Macaca fascicularis: one gene and its partners. The protein of the gene in region 3 interacts with the protein of the main gene of each other region in a pairwise test. Links are inferred from orthologs where the notes say so. Each region holds a gene or a part of one and is shown on either strand. Other genes may lie near its edges. The genes, in order: CSNK1G2, RTN3 and CERT1.

The links.
Region 1: the proteins of CERT1 (region 3) and CSNK1G2 interact in binary tests that used the Homo sapiens proteins (3 or more experiments, as listed by UniProt). The two-hybrid records come from large-scale screens. The link is inferred for Macaca fascicularis from reciprocal best matches to the Homo sapiens genes CERT1 and CSNK1G2.
Region 2: the proteins of CERT1 (region 3) and RTN3 interact in binary tests that used the Homo sapiens proteins (3 or more experiments, as listed by UniProt). The link is inferred for Macaca fascicularis from reciprocal best matches to the Homo sapiens genes CERT1 and RTN3.

What each region holds. Positions count from the first base shown.
Region 1 is NC_088393.1:2,596,880-2,600,526, forward strand, and holds part of CSNK1G2 (casein kinase I), read left to right. Parts: intron 1-1,463; 5' UTR 1,464-1,728; coding exon 1,729-1,915; intron 1,916-3,647. UniProt on the Homo sapiens protein: Serine/threonine-protein kinase. Casein kinases are operationally defined by their preferential utilization of acidic proteins such as caseins as substrates. It can phosphorylate a large number of proteins. Participates in Wnt signaling.
Region 2 is NC_088388.1:10,667,692-10,671,338, reverse strand, and holds part of RTN3 (reticulon-3), read left to right. Parts: intron 1-1,716; coding exon 1,717-1,924; intron 1,925-3,647. UniProt on the Homo sapiens protein: May be involved in membrane trafficking in the early secretory pathway. Inhibits BACE1 activity and amyloid precursor protein processing. May induce caspase-8 cascade and apoptosis.
Region 3 is NC_088380.1:79,526,199-79,529,945, forward strand, and holds the start of CERT1 (ceramide transfer protein), read right to left. Parts: upstream 2,547-3,747; 5' UTR 2,545-2,546; coding exon 2,459-2,544; intron 2,318-2,458; exon of another isoform or gene 2,206-2,317; coding exon 1,812-2,205; intron 1-1,811. UniProt on the Homo sapiens protein: Shelters ceramides and diacylglycerol lipids inside its START domain and mediates the intracellular trafficking of ceramides and diacylglycerol lipids in a non-vesicular manner.

The DNA of each region.
Region 1 (3,647 bases), on a different chromosome or scaffold from region 3:
CAGTTGACGAAGCCGCGGCTGGGTCGAGAGGACCGACTGCAGTTTTGAAAGACGTTCTGCTGTGGGTGATAAATGCTATCAGACGGCATCACGCCCCACAAAGAAATCTTTGATGAAAGGAAGAGTCAGTTGCTGCGGCCGACTTTTTTGTGGTCATAGTTTAAGAAGTTGCCCTCGCCTCCGGCAGCCGCTGCCCCGATGAGTCAGCCGGCGTCCACGTCGAGGCAAGACCCTCCTCCAGGGAGATTAGGGCGCACTCACAGTCCGACGATCGTTAGCGTTGTTTAGCGGTAAAGTATTTTTATTTCTCTATTATTTAGTTAAGATGGGGTCTCGCTGTATCACCCGGGCTGGAGTGCAGTGGTACGATCATGGCTCCCTACAGCCTCCGCCTCCTGGGCTCAAGCGATCCTGCCGCCTCAGTCTCCCGACTAGCTGGCACCACAGGCTTGCGGCACCATGCCCCACTTAATTAAAGTGTGTCCGCATACCGTGGTACACTGTGAACGTAACTTTTGTGCGCACCAGGAAACGAAAACATCTGAGTGGCTATTGCCGTGTGGAACCCCAAGGCACGCTTGCGATCACCTCAGGGTGTTTCTCGTACCAGAACACGGTTGCCACGTGCAGTGGGGCAGTGCTTGTGACGCTGGTGCCTTTGTTTCTGTTGTGGCTTATTCAGCTGGGAGTTCCTGTCCTAACATTTTCGGCGATGGCTGTGCACCCGTGGCCCCTCCTCACCTGCCTCCCTCAGGCCCCGCCATACCCTTCTCAGCTCCGCTCTGCACTGAAGGGGCTGGGTGGGACCCACCCTGGCATTGTCACAGCCCCGAGTGGTGTCCAGCCTGCCCCGCTCCACCAGTGGCTACTGGAGAACGACCCGAGCCTGGGTCAGGCCGTGGGGATTCCTGCAGCAGCTTACGGCTCGCTGGGGCCTCCTGCTCTCCGGTCCACTCTCCCCACTTTCAGTGTCCCCTGGCCGCCATGGGCAGGGGCAGCTCTGTGGCTTCCGTGTCCCTGCCTCAGGTCTGCCTGCTGTCGTCTGCCTCCCTCCCTCTTTCTCAGAGCAGCCCTGGGCCTGGAGATGGGGACTGTTGTGTGGCCCTTCTGTGTCTGGGGGTGGGACTGACCCCTGGCTTCAGGATCCTCAGGGCCTCTCCCCGGGATGGGCAGTCATGCCCTCCCAGCAGTACGTTCTCCCACCTGTGCCACCCACCCACCCATCTCGCTTCACAGAAAGGCCCCTGAGCCCTACCCTGTTAGTCTCTAGGCAGCCACGCCGAGACCTCTGGCCTCTAATGTCATGTGGCACGTGCTTCCCAGCCGCGTTCTGGGCACGGACAGTGCTTGTCGTGTCCCGGCCTTCAGAGCTCCTTCCAGCCCGGCAGCCCCCTGGCTGCGTCCTCTGTGGCCTCCGCCCCGTGTCCTCGCCGGCGCTCACCTGTGCCTCTGTTTCTCCACAGCTGTGAGCCGTGAGCTTTGAGGCGGTGGGACCTGTCAACAGAATGTCTCCTGCCCCCGAGAGCCACCCCAAGGCCACTGAGATGAGCACCGCGGCCTGGCCGGCCCCAGTGCCTGCGTCTCAGTAGCCGGGAGCCGCGGGCCCACGCCCGCCCGCCAGCCGCGGTGATGTTCTAGCCACAGAGGAGCCAAGACCTCAGGTTTCCAGAGACTTGGGATTTGCACGGCAGCAGAGCCACCGTGGAGAGGCCAGGGTATCACAAACTTATGGATTTTGACAAGAAAGGAGGGAAAGGGGAGACAGAGGAGGGCCGGAGAATGTCCAAGGCCGGCGGGGGCCGGAGCAGCCACGGCATCCGGAGCTCGGGGACCAGCTCGGGGGTCCTGATGGTGGGCCCCAACTTCCGCGTCGGCAAGAAGATCGGCTGCGGCAACTTCGGGGAGCTCCGCCTAGGTGAGGCCCTGCTCGTGGCTGATGGGGTGGGAGGCTGCTGGCAGGGCCGCACGGGGTCACCGGAGCCTCCAGTGGGGCCGCACGGGGTCACCGGAGCCTCCAGTGGGGCCGCACGGGGTCACCAGAGCCTCCAGTGGGGCCACCCCGGGTCACGGGATCCTCCGGCGGGGCCACACGGGGTCACCGGAGCCTCCGGCGAGGCCACCCCGGGTCACTGGCATGTGTTGAATCATCGGTCCATCGTGGTATGAGTGTCACTTCCCTTCGAGGAAGCCCCATGGGGACAGTGGGTTTCTGGCCCTGTCTCCTTTTCGGGAAACAATTCAGTTGGGAGGCAGGTGGCCCAGAGCAGGCCAGGCCATGCCGCAAGGAGTCCGAGTATTAAGTCATGAATGACTTCCACAGCCCATGTCCGTGCTGGGCAAAGCCCTGGCCTTAACCGCAGGCGCCAGCACGGAGCCAGCGTCGGGTGACTGGAGTGACTGTTCTGTGGTGATGACGCTGCTGTGTGCCACTCCCAGCTTCACCGTGTAAAACGCCGCACCAGGCCCACCTGGCTCCATGCCTTCTGCTCACACTGACCTCTCCCGGGTTGCGATCTGATTGCCCGGGCAGGCGTGAGGAGCAGGGCTGAGGACTGAGCCTGTTACTGGCCAGGGGCGCCTTCCCTTGGGTGGGGGTGCCTGAAGATGACCACCAGGCCTGGGGGAGCTCTGAGCACGTTTGGGGCCAGTCGCAGTTCGTGATTAGCTGTGCCAGGCAGCCGGGTCATCCCCAGAAATATTAAATTCATTCCTGGTGCTGCTGGCTGTACGGCCAACGCCTGAGCTCCTGCGGGAGGGCATTTGGCGTCTGTTTCTGGGGTTGTCCGGAAGACCCAAGTGCACCCCCGGTCAATGTCTGTCGTGGTGGGAGTCGGGGTCTCTGGGAAAGGGCGCAGGATGGGCAGGTCTGGGAGGCCACGGCAGTGGATCAGCCTCACGTGGGCACCCACGGCAGGCAGTACTGGAATCCGGCCCCTCGGCCCAATGAGGTTGTCAGATGAGGGAAACTGAGGCCCAGGCAGTGGGTATGTTGTGGTTGCACCTTCAAGAGTGGCCGCCCAGGGGTGCAGGAGCATGGGCAGTAGCCACCTGGACCCCAGGCATGTTTTGTGACCCCGCTTCCCACCTCCTGCCTCAGTTTACCCACCTGTTAAATAGGGATGAATGGTAGTTGCCACTGTTCAGAAGTGGGTTCAGCAGGCAGTTACGTGGCAGAAGTGTGTGTCCTGAGTCAAGCAGCTTCTCCCAGGCGAGCGCAGCTGTCGGGGTCACTGTTGGCTGCCTCAGTGTTCCCATTGGCTGCACCCGGGGCCCCAGGAGGCCCGTTTGAGACCCCATCCCGAACCAGATTCCACCCCAGCCCTTGGGGAGGCTGCTGGGATTCCACTCTTTTGCGCAGAGGCTGGGCTTGGGCCTCACTGCCTGTCTGATGGCCTGTGGCTCGGGAGGCCCCGGGCTCCGTTTCTCAGCCAAGAGAGTGAGCTTTTCCCGACGGTAGCTGTGGCCTCCCAACCCTGTGTGTGTGCGCACATACTCAGACACACGTGCAGACACATACAGATGTGTACACACATGCCCACACACGTACATGTGCACACTAAAGCACATGCACACAGGCACGCACAGCCACAACCATGTGCACACAGGCACATCTGCACACACACACCTGGCACAGCCCTGTGACCTGC
Region 2 (3,647 bases), on a different chromosome or scaffold from region 3:
CAGTTGGGGACTTCCAAACTGGGAAAATCGAAATACTTCTACTTAAACTCTTTTCCTGACATAATTATTAATAGTGCCCCACTCACTTTTGAAAGAGTCTCATTCTGTCACCCAGGCTGGAGTGCAGTGGCACGATGTTGGCTTACTGCAGCCTCCACCTCCCAGGTTCAAGTGATTTCTCGTGCCTCAGCTTCCCAAGTAGCTGAGATTACAAGCGTGCACCACCACGCCCAGGTATTTTTTTGTATTTTCAGTAGAGACAGGGGTCTCACCATGTTGGCCAGTCTGGTCTTGAACTCCTGGCCTCAAGTGATCTGCTTGCCTCGGCCTCCCAAAGTGCTGGGATCACAGGTGTGAACCACTGCACCCTGCCAGCCCCACTCACTTTTTTTCTTTTTTTTTTTTTTGAGACAAAGTTTTATTCTGTCACCTAGGCTGGAATGTAATGGCGCGATCTCGGCTGACTACAGCCTCCGCTTCCCAGGTTCAAGCGATTCTCCCACTTCAGCCTCCCGAGTAGCTGGGAGTACAGGCACATACCACCATGCTCAGCTAGTTTTTGTATTTTTAGTAGAGACTGGCTTTTCGCCATGTTGGCCAGGTTGGTCTTGAACTCCTGACCTCAGGTGATCTGCCCGCCTTGGCCTCCCAAAGTGCAAGAATTACAGGCATGAGCCACCATGCCCGGCCCCCACTCACTTTTTTTAAAAGTACTGCAGCTTGGCCAGGCATGGTGGCTCATGCCTATAATCACAGCACTGTGGGAGGCCACAGCAGGAGGATTGCTTGAAGCCAGGAGTTTGAGACTAGCCTGGGCAACATATTGAGACCCTGTCTCTACAAAAAAGATAAAATGTACCTGGACATGGTGGCACATACCTGTAGTCCTAGCTGCTCGGAGGCTGAGGTAGGAGGTTTGCTTGAACCCAAGAGTTAAAGGCTGCACTGAGAAATGATAGTTCCACTGCTCTCCAGCCTGGGTGACAGAGTGAGACGCTGTCTCAAAAAAGGGAGGAGGGGGTATTGTGGCTTAGATAATTATATGGTCCCCTATACATAATCCTTCCTGAATTCTTTTCAGATTAACATCGAGATTGGTGTTTCTTTGTAACTAGCACTAATAGTGCTTGGTCTATTTTTATTTACCACTTTCTTTGCCCCGCCCCAATTTATACACTGGGGCAAAATTAGCTTTGGTTTTATAGTCTGTTCACCCAACTAATTTATAGGTCTGGTTTGCATAATTTAGTTAACAGCAAGATTTTGCCACACCTGCTTTATCATCCTTTCTGCCAAAATATTTAAGGTAAATGGCACTTTACCCCAGTGTATTTCCATAGCTGAAATAAGCTCTTAAATTTTTATAATCCTATCCTGAAACCTAATCAGTGTAGCAGAAGAACCTTTTGCCTTGTGAGTTATCACCCCTGACATAATTTGATTTTCATTTATAAGATTCTCTTAGAACCAAGTACAGTAGCACACACCTGTAGTTCCAGCTACTCAGGAAGTGAAGGCAGGAGGATCACTTGAGCCCAGAGTTCCAGGCCAGCCTGGGCGACATAGTGAGACCACCATCTCTTTAAAAAAACAAAGCCAGATTATCTTAAAGTGGGGCATACCTGTATTTGTGTGCTAATGTGAGGCTCCACAGGTATGCAAGATATAGTAGCTGTGGGCATTTCCTCTAATTTATATTCCCTTTTCTTTTGTCAGTGCACGATCTGATTTTCTGGAGAGATGTGAAGAAGACTGGGTTTGTCTTTGGCACCACGCTGATCATGCTGCTTTCCCTGGCAGCTTTCAGTGTCATCAGTGTGGTTTCTTACCTCATCCTGGCTCTTCTCTCTGTCACCATCAGCTTCAGGATCTACAAGTCCGTCATCCAAGCTGTACAGAAGTCAGAAGAAGGCCATCCATTCAAGTGAGTTGAAGTCTTAAAAGTGACATTCTGCATTTTAGTGGAAGGGTTCACTGAAGCTGATAGGTCTAAAACTCAGACCTGACTAAAAAGCAAGAATTATGGGGCCTGATGCAGCTGGTGGGTGGCATGAAGCATCCCCTAGAGACCTTGAAATCACCTTAAGAAGTGGCCAAGGTAGGAGCCAAGAATTTTTTGACAAATTAGAGGCTCTACTTGAAGTTCAAAGAGGGAGTCCCCGAAGGGAGTCCTTCAAAGAAGACCCTAAATTCTTTTTTTTGAGACGGATATTGCTTTTGTTACCCAGGCTGGAGTACAATGGTGCGATATCAGCTTACTGCAACCTCTGCCTCCCAGGTTCAAGCAATTCTCCTGCCTCAGCCTCCTGAGTAGCTGGGATTACAGGCGTGCGCCACTACGCCCAGCTAATTTTGTATTTTTAGTAGAGATGGGGTTTCTCCATGTTGGTCAGGCTGGTCTTGAACTTCTGACCTCGAACTTCCGCCTGCCTCGGCCTCGCAAAGTGCTGTTTTTTTGTGTGTTTTTGTTTTGTTTTGTTTTGTTTTTGAGACAGTCTCTCAAAAACAGGCTGGATCACGGCAACCTCCGCCGTCCTGGTTCAAGCAATTCTGCCTCGGCCTCCTGAGCTGGGATTACAGGCACACGTCACCAAGCCTGGCTAATTTTTGTAGTTTTAGTAGAGACAGGGTTTCACCATGTTGGTCAGGCTGGTCTTGAACTCCTGACCTCGTGATCCGCCCGCCTCGGCCTCCCAAAGTGCGGGGATTACAGGCGTGAGCCACTGCGCCTGGCGACTCTAAATTCTTGAGCAGGGCAGGGAAAGCAGAGCACCTAGAGCAGCACTCAGTTAGATGGGGTTCTGAGTGCATGTTTAAACCCCCACATGGGTAAGACTTGAAATGACTTTCAAATCTTATTGAGTGTGTGCTGTTGGTAATATCAGAACTCAGTGTTTTTATTATTGGTTTATTACTGATTTCCTCCTTATCTCTTACTAGTTTTCTTAACACTGGAATCTTAATGAAGTCAGTAGATCTTCTGACTACATTTCTAGTATACAATTTCTAGCTTTTCTGATTGTGCTGTAACTTTAACAAATGTTTTCTTCACACTTTCCTCTTGAAAATCTTACCCCATAAACAATGTTGACTTTAACATGAGCAAATGACAGTTTTTTGAAAGCTCTTTTTTCATAGAGAAGGAGACCCTGCTGTGACCTCTCAGGACTACAACAGAATAGGTTTCTGGTCGCACCTATGCTCATTGTATTTTCTCTTGGTGAAAATAGAAGGAATAGCTTACAACTATATGTGGCATTAAAACATTTATTGCAGTTCAGCCGCGGTGACTTACGCCTGTAATCCCAGCACTTTGGGAGGCTGAGGCAGGCAGATTACTTGAGGTCAGAAGTTCAAGACCAGCCTGGCCAACATGGTGAAACCTCGTCTCTACTGAAACTACAAAAATGAGCCAGACACGGTTGCAGGCGCTTGTAATCCCATCTACTCGGGAGGCTGAGACAGGAGAATTGCTTGAACCCAGAGGCAGAGGTTGCAGTGAACGGAGATCCCACCACTGCACTCTAGCCTAGGTGACAGAGTGAGACTCTGTCTCAAAGTATAATAATAATTGCAAATTATGTTTTTTGTTTTTTTCTTTTTATTTTACTTTATTTTATTGTGTTTTATTTATTTATTTATTTTGA
Region 3 (3,747 bases):
TATGAGTATATATATTCAATTTAGAATACCCTTGATTAAAAAGTTTCCAGAAAACACTGTATATAACCATAAATTGGTAAATCTCAGGAAAATTTCCTTCATAGCTATTAGCAAGAATACCAAAAGCTGTATTCCTATTCATTCTACATAAGAAGCAACAGTCAAAATTTAAGTTATTCACCTTCCACAGAGGTGATCAAATGCATTTGTATGCATTTAAATATCGAGATTGGTCTTCCATTTTTTGATCTATAGTATACCTACTCCACATAAAGTAAAACTCAGAGCACTGGTGACTTTTTCCCCCAGTCACTCCATTCCCCCAACCCCCAAAAAAGTAATTATCAGTAGGTCAAAATTACAATTTGTTTTGTAAAATACTCAACACATCACAATACTAATATGGCAGTCAGCTTCCCATCTTATGAGCAGTGATGAAACTATCAAAATCACTGAGAAGCAAGTAACCCACTTCCTATTATCAACTGAAAATGTGTACCTACTACACAATGTGTTCAATAGAGATTCCTAAATTACAGGATACATTTAATGTAAAGAAATCCTGAGGAGCTTCTCGTTACTGAAAACCTTGCATTGAAATTTCAAGAATGATCACAGCATCAATATACAACTAATTTTTCGGCTATACAAATAAAAGTCAACACTTGCAATCCTTAGTTCTGACTACTCATGCCTTTTCTAGTTCCCTTCTCATTAGCTTTCTACAGACATTATAAAAGCATTATATTAAACAATTCCACAAATAATGTCCAAGTGATGTGCCAAAGTATGAATACTGGAAACAGGGTGATTTCTTAATAGCCAGTAGCTGCACATGACATAGTATCTTATGACCAGCTTGTTGAGGGACTGGCCCAGCTCCCCCTCTCCAAGTTAACTGCTAGCTCCAGCCATTTCTAAAAAAGTTTAACAGGAAGGGGGAGAGAAGTCCAAAAGGCTATGTGAATCTTCTTATAGCAAAAACTTAAAAAAAAAAAAAATCCCAACCATGTAATATCAAGAGATCACCCATCCGCAGTTCTATAATGGCTGCTTTCCTAAAATTTTGATACACGGATTTTAAAAAATACATAAAAGGTAAAACATCTTTTCCCTACCCTGGACCCCTTACCGCAAAAAGAGTTTATTATTAAATAATGCTCTTCTTCCTGGACTAAAGATCAGTCTCCTTTCTCACATGTTTCAAGTTACTATGAATATTTCCTGTACCCATCACGTGCCGATTCAATATCTCTATTCTGAACTAAGGTACAGGGTGAGGGAGAAAGTCCTCCACATTAATCTGTCTCACTACATCTAACCTGGCGAGTTCAACACCTCAAATTTCAACACCAAGCTGAGTCGCTCCGGCTTCTGTCGAAACAGCTGCGTCCGCAGTGCCCCCCAACCTACTCGGCTTGGCATCCTCAGACAGACCAACCTCTTTTAAGAGGTCCGACTTGAACCGCTCCCGTGCCCAGTCGTTCGGACACCGCTGAAGCCCAACCCGGATTCCTTACACCCGGGACAGCTGCCGCCCTAGGTCCCAAGGCACGGCACGCATCTGGTCTCCCAAACTGGATCCCCGGTTGATACACCCTTTCCCTGGTCCTCGGCTGCCCCCGACGAGCCCTCGGGCAGCAAGGACAGGCCCCCTATATCCCCGCCTCATCCCTAGTCGCCGCAGCAGTACTCAGCCTCGCACCCCGGCACGTTCCGCGCCTCCCGCCAGCCCCACCCCACCGCCTCAGCGGATTGCCTCGCGGCAGGTGAGTCTGGCCAGGGGTCCCCTGGCACCACCGGTTGCTCACCTTACTGAGGACCCCGCAGCGCTCCACAGGCGGCCCAGATTCCGTCTCTGGATCCTCCTCCGAGCCCGACGAGTTCCAGCTCTGATTATCCGACATGGAGGCGCGACAGCCGAGCAGGAGACCGGCCCCCGCTCCCTCAACTGCGCCGGAGGAGGCGCCCAGTCCTCGGGGTGAAGGGTCGGGGGATGGCGAAGCGAAGAGTGCCAGCTCCGCTGTGGGGGGGAGCAGGAGGAGGGACGAAGTCCGCTCGCCGCGCCGCCGCCGCGCCTGACACCGAGCGGAGCGGGGAAGGAGGACGAGCGGTGAAGGAAGCCTACCCTTCCAGCCGTCAGCCGCCGCCGCCGTCGCCGGGACCCCTGCGTTGCGCCCGGTGCTGCCACCCGAACTTAGACCCCTCGATGCCAATTTCAAATAGCGAAGGAAAAGGGAGAAGAAGGGAAGAGAAAATCCGGCCGCTGAGACCCGAGTACACTCACACCTCCGCTACCGCCGCCATCTTGCTGCCTGGCCCACTATTTACCCTCCCCTCCCCTGTCCTTTCCCCTCCCCTTCGTCCTCCCATTCTCCCCTCCTCCTCCCCGCCCCGTCCCCCTCCCGGCGTCTGACGCGACACGCCAAGCGTGCGGGATCCTCCTCCCGCACCCTACCTCCGGCTCTCCCGGATGACGAGGGGTAGAAAAGTAGGAGGAGCGCAGTAAGGAGAGGGCGGGATAGGGATGCCGCTGTGCTGCATTCTGGGAAGGGCGTTGGTTCGTCGCTCGCCCAGCCTCCTGGGAGTTGTAGTCGCGATCCTGAGGTAACGGGTGAGTATCCCGCGCGGGGATCGCTTGTCGCCTTGGGGACTTGTCAGTCGGTGGGTGGGCTTCGTTTGACAGTTGCGTGACCTGCCTCTTGGCCTCGCTTCTATCCTTGCCTTGTGTGTTTATGACGAACCCTCCGGGCTTGCGGGCCAGGACGTGAGAGAGCTTTCTGCTGAAGATGACGGGCCTGCGTTGCAGGGCTGCTTGTCGAAAGCCCGGGAGCGCGTAGCCGCTTCCGCCTCAACCACGGGATGGGGTTTTGTGAGCTCCTAGTGCCAAGGGGGTTTTCTTTCCACCAGACCACCGCTGTAAATCTCGAGGGTCTTACCCATTAGAAGTTAGAATTCACATTTGACGTTTAAAGGAAGAATTTCCTTAGTACCTTCTGACAAGCACGCACTTCGCATTTTTAGATTTCTAGAATTTTCTTTGTGGAAAGTAATTTTGAGGTTGTCAGAGAATAAATAACGTTAGAAAGGTTTTTAAAGTAAAACAAGAATGTCAGATGATAGCCTGGGATTTTCTCTTAGTTGTAAATGAATATCTTACTGAGAACCACGTTAACCATGCCTGCCCCTCAAAGATAGGAAAGTTTGGATATATAGAAACTTTCTCGTATTAGAAATACGAGATTAGGGGATTAGGCAATAGGTGGCTATTTTTAAGACTAGGGTTGAATTAGCAGAAAGACCAAAAGAAGATCTAACAGCTCTTGTCAGTTGTCAAGGATAACTTTGATGGTGAGACCTTTGACTTTGTAGCTTCAGTAATTTCCTCTCGTTAGCTATTTTAATATAGTCGAGTTCCTGATAATTGCCAAGAGTAAAATTTGTTATTAAGCCTTAGAAAGAATACCTTTTTTACTACAAGGATGGGACAATAGGAGCGAAATTTCGAGTCTAAGGGAAAACGCTAGCCGAGTGCCGTGGCTCACGCCTGTAATCCCAGCACTTTGGGAGGCCGAGTTGGGTGGATCACCTGAGGCCGGGAGTTTGAGACCACCCCGTCTCTACTAAAAATACAAAGATTAGCCGAGCAGGGTGGCGGGTGCCTGTAATTCCAGCTCTTTATATCCTGGTTTCAAATCTAGGCTTGATGACCTTTTCCCATATCCCAGTCTCCTATTTTTTACTTCC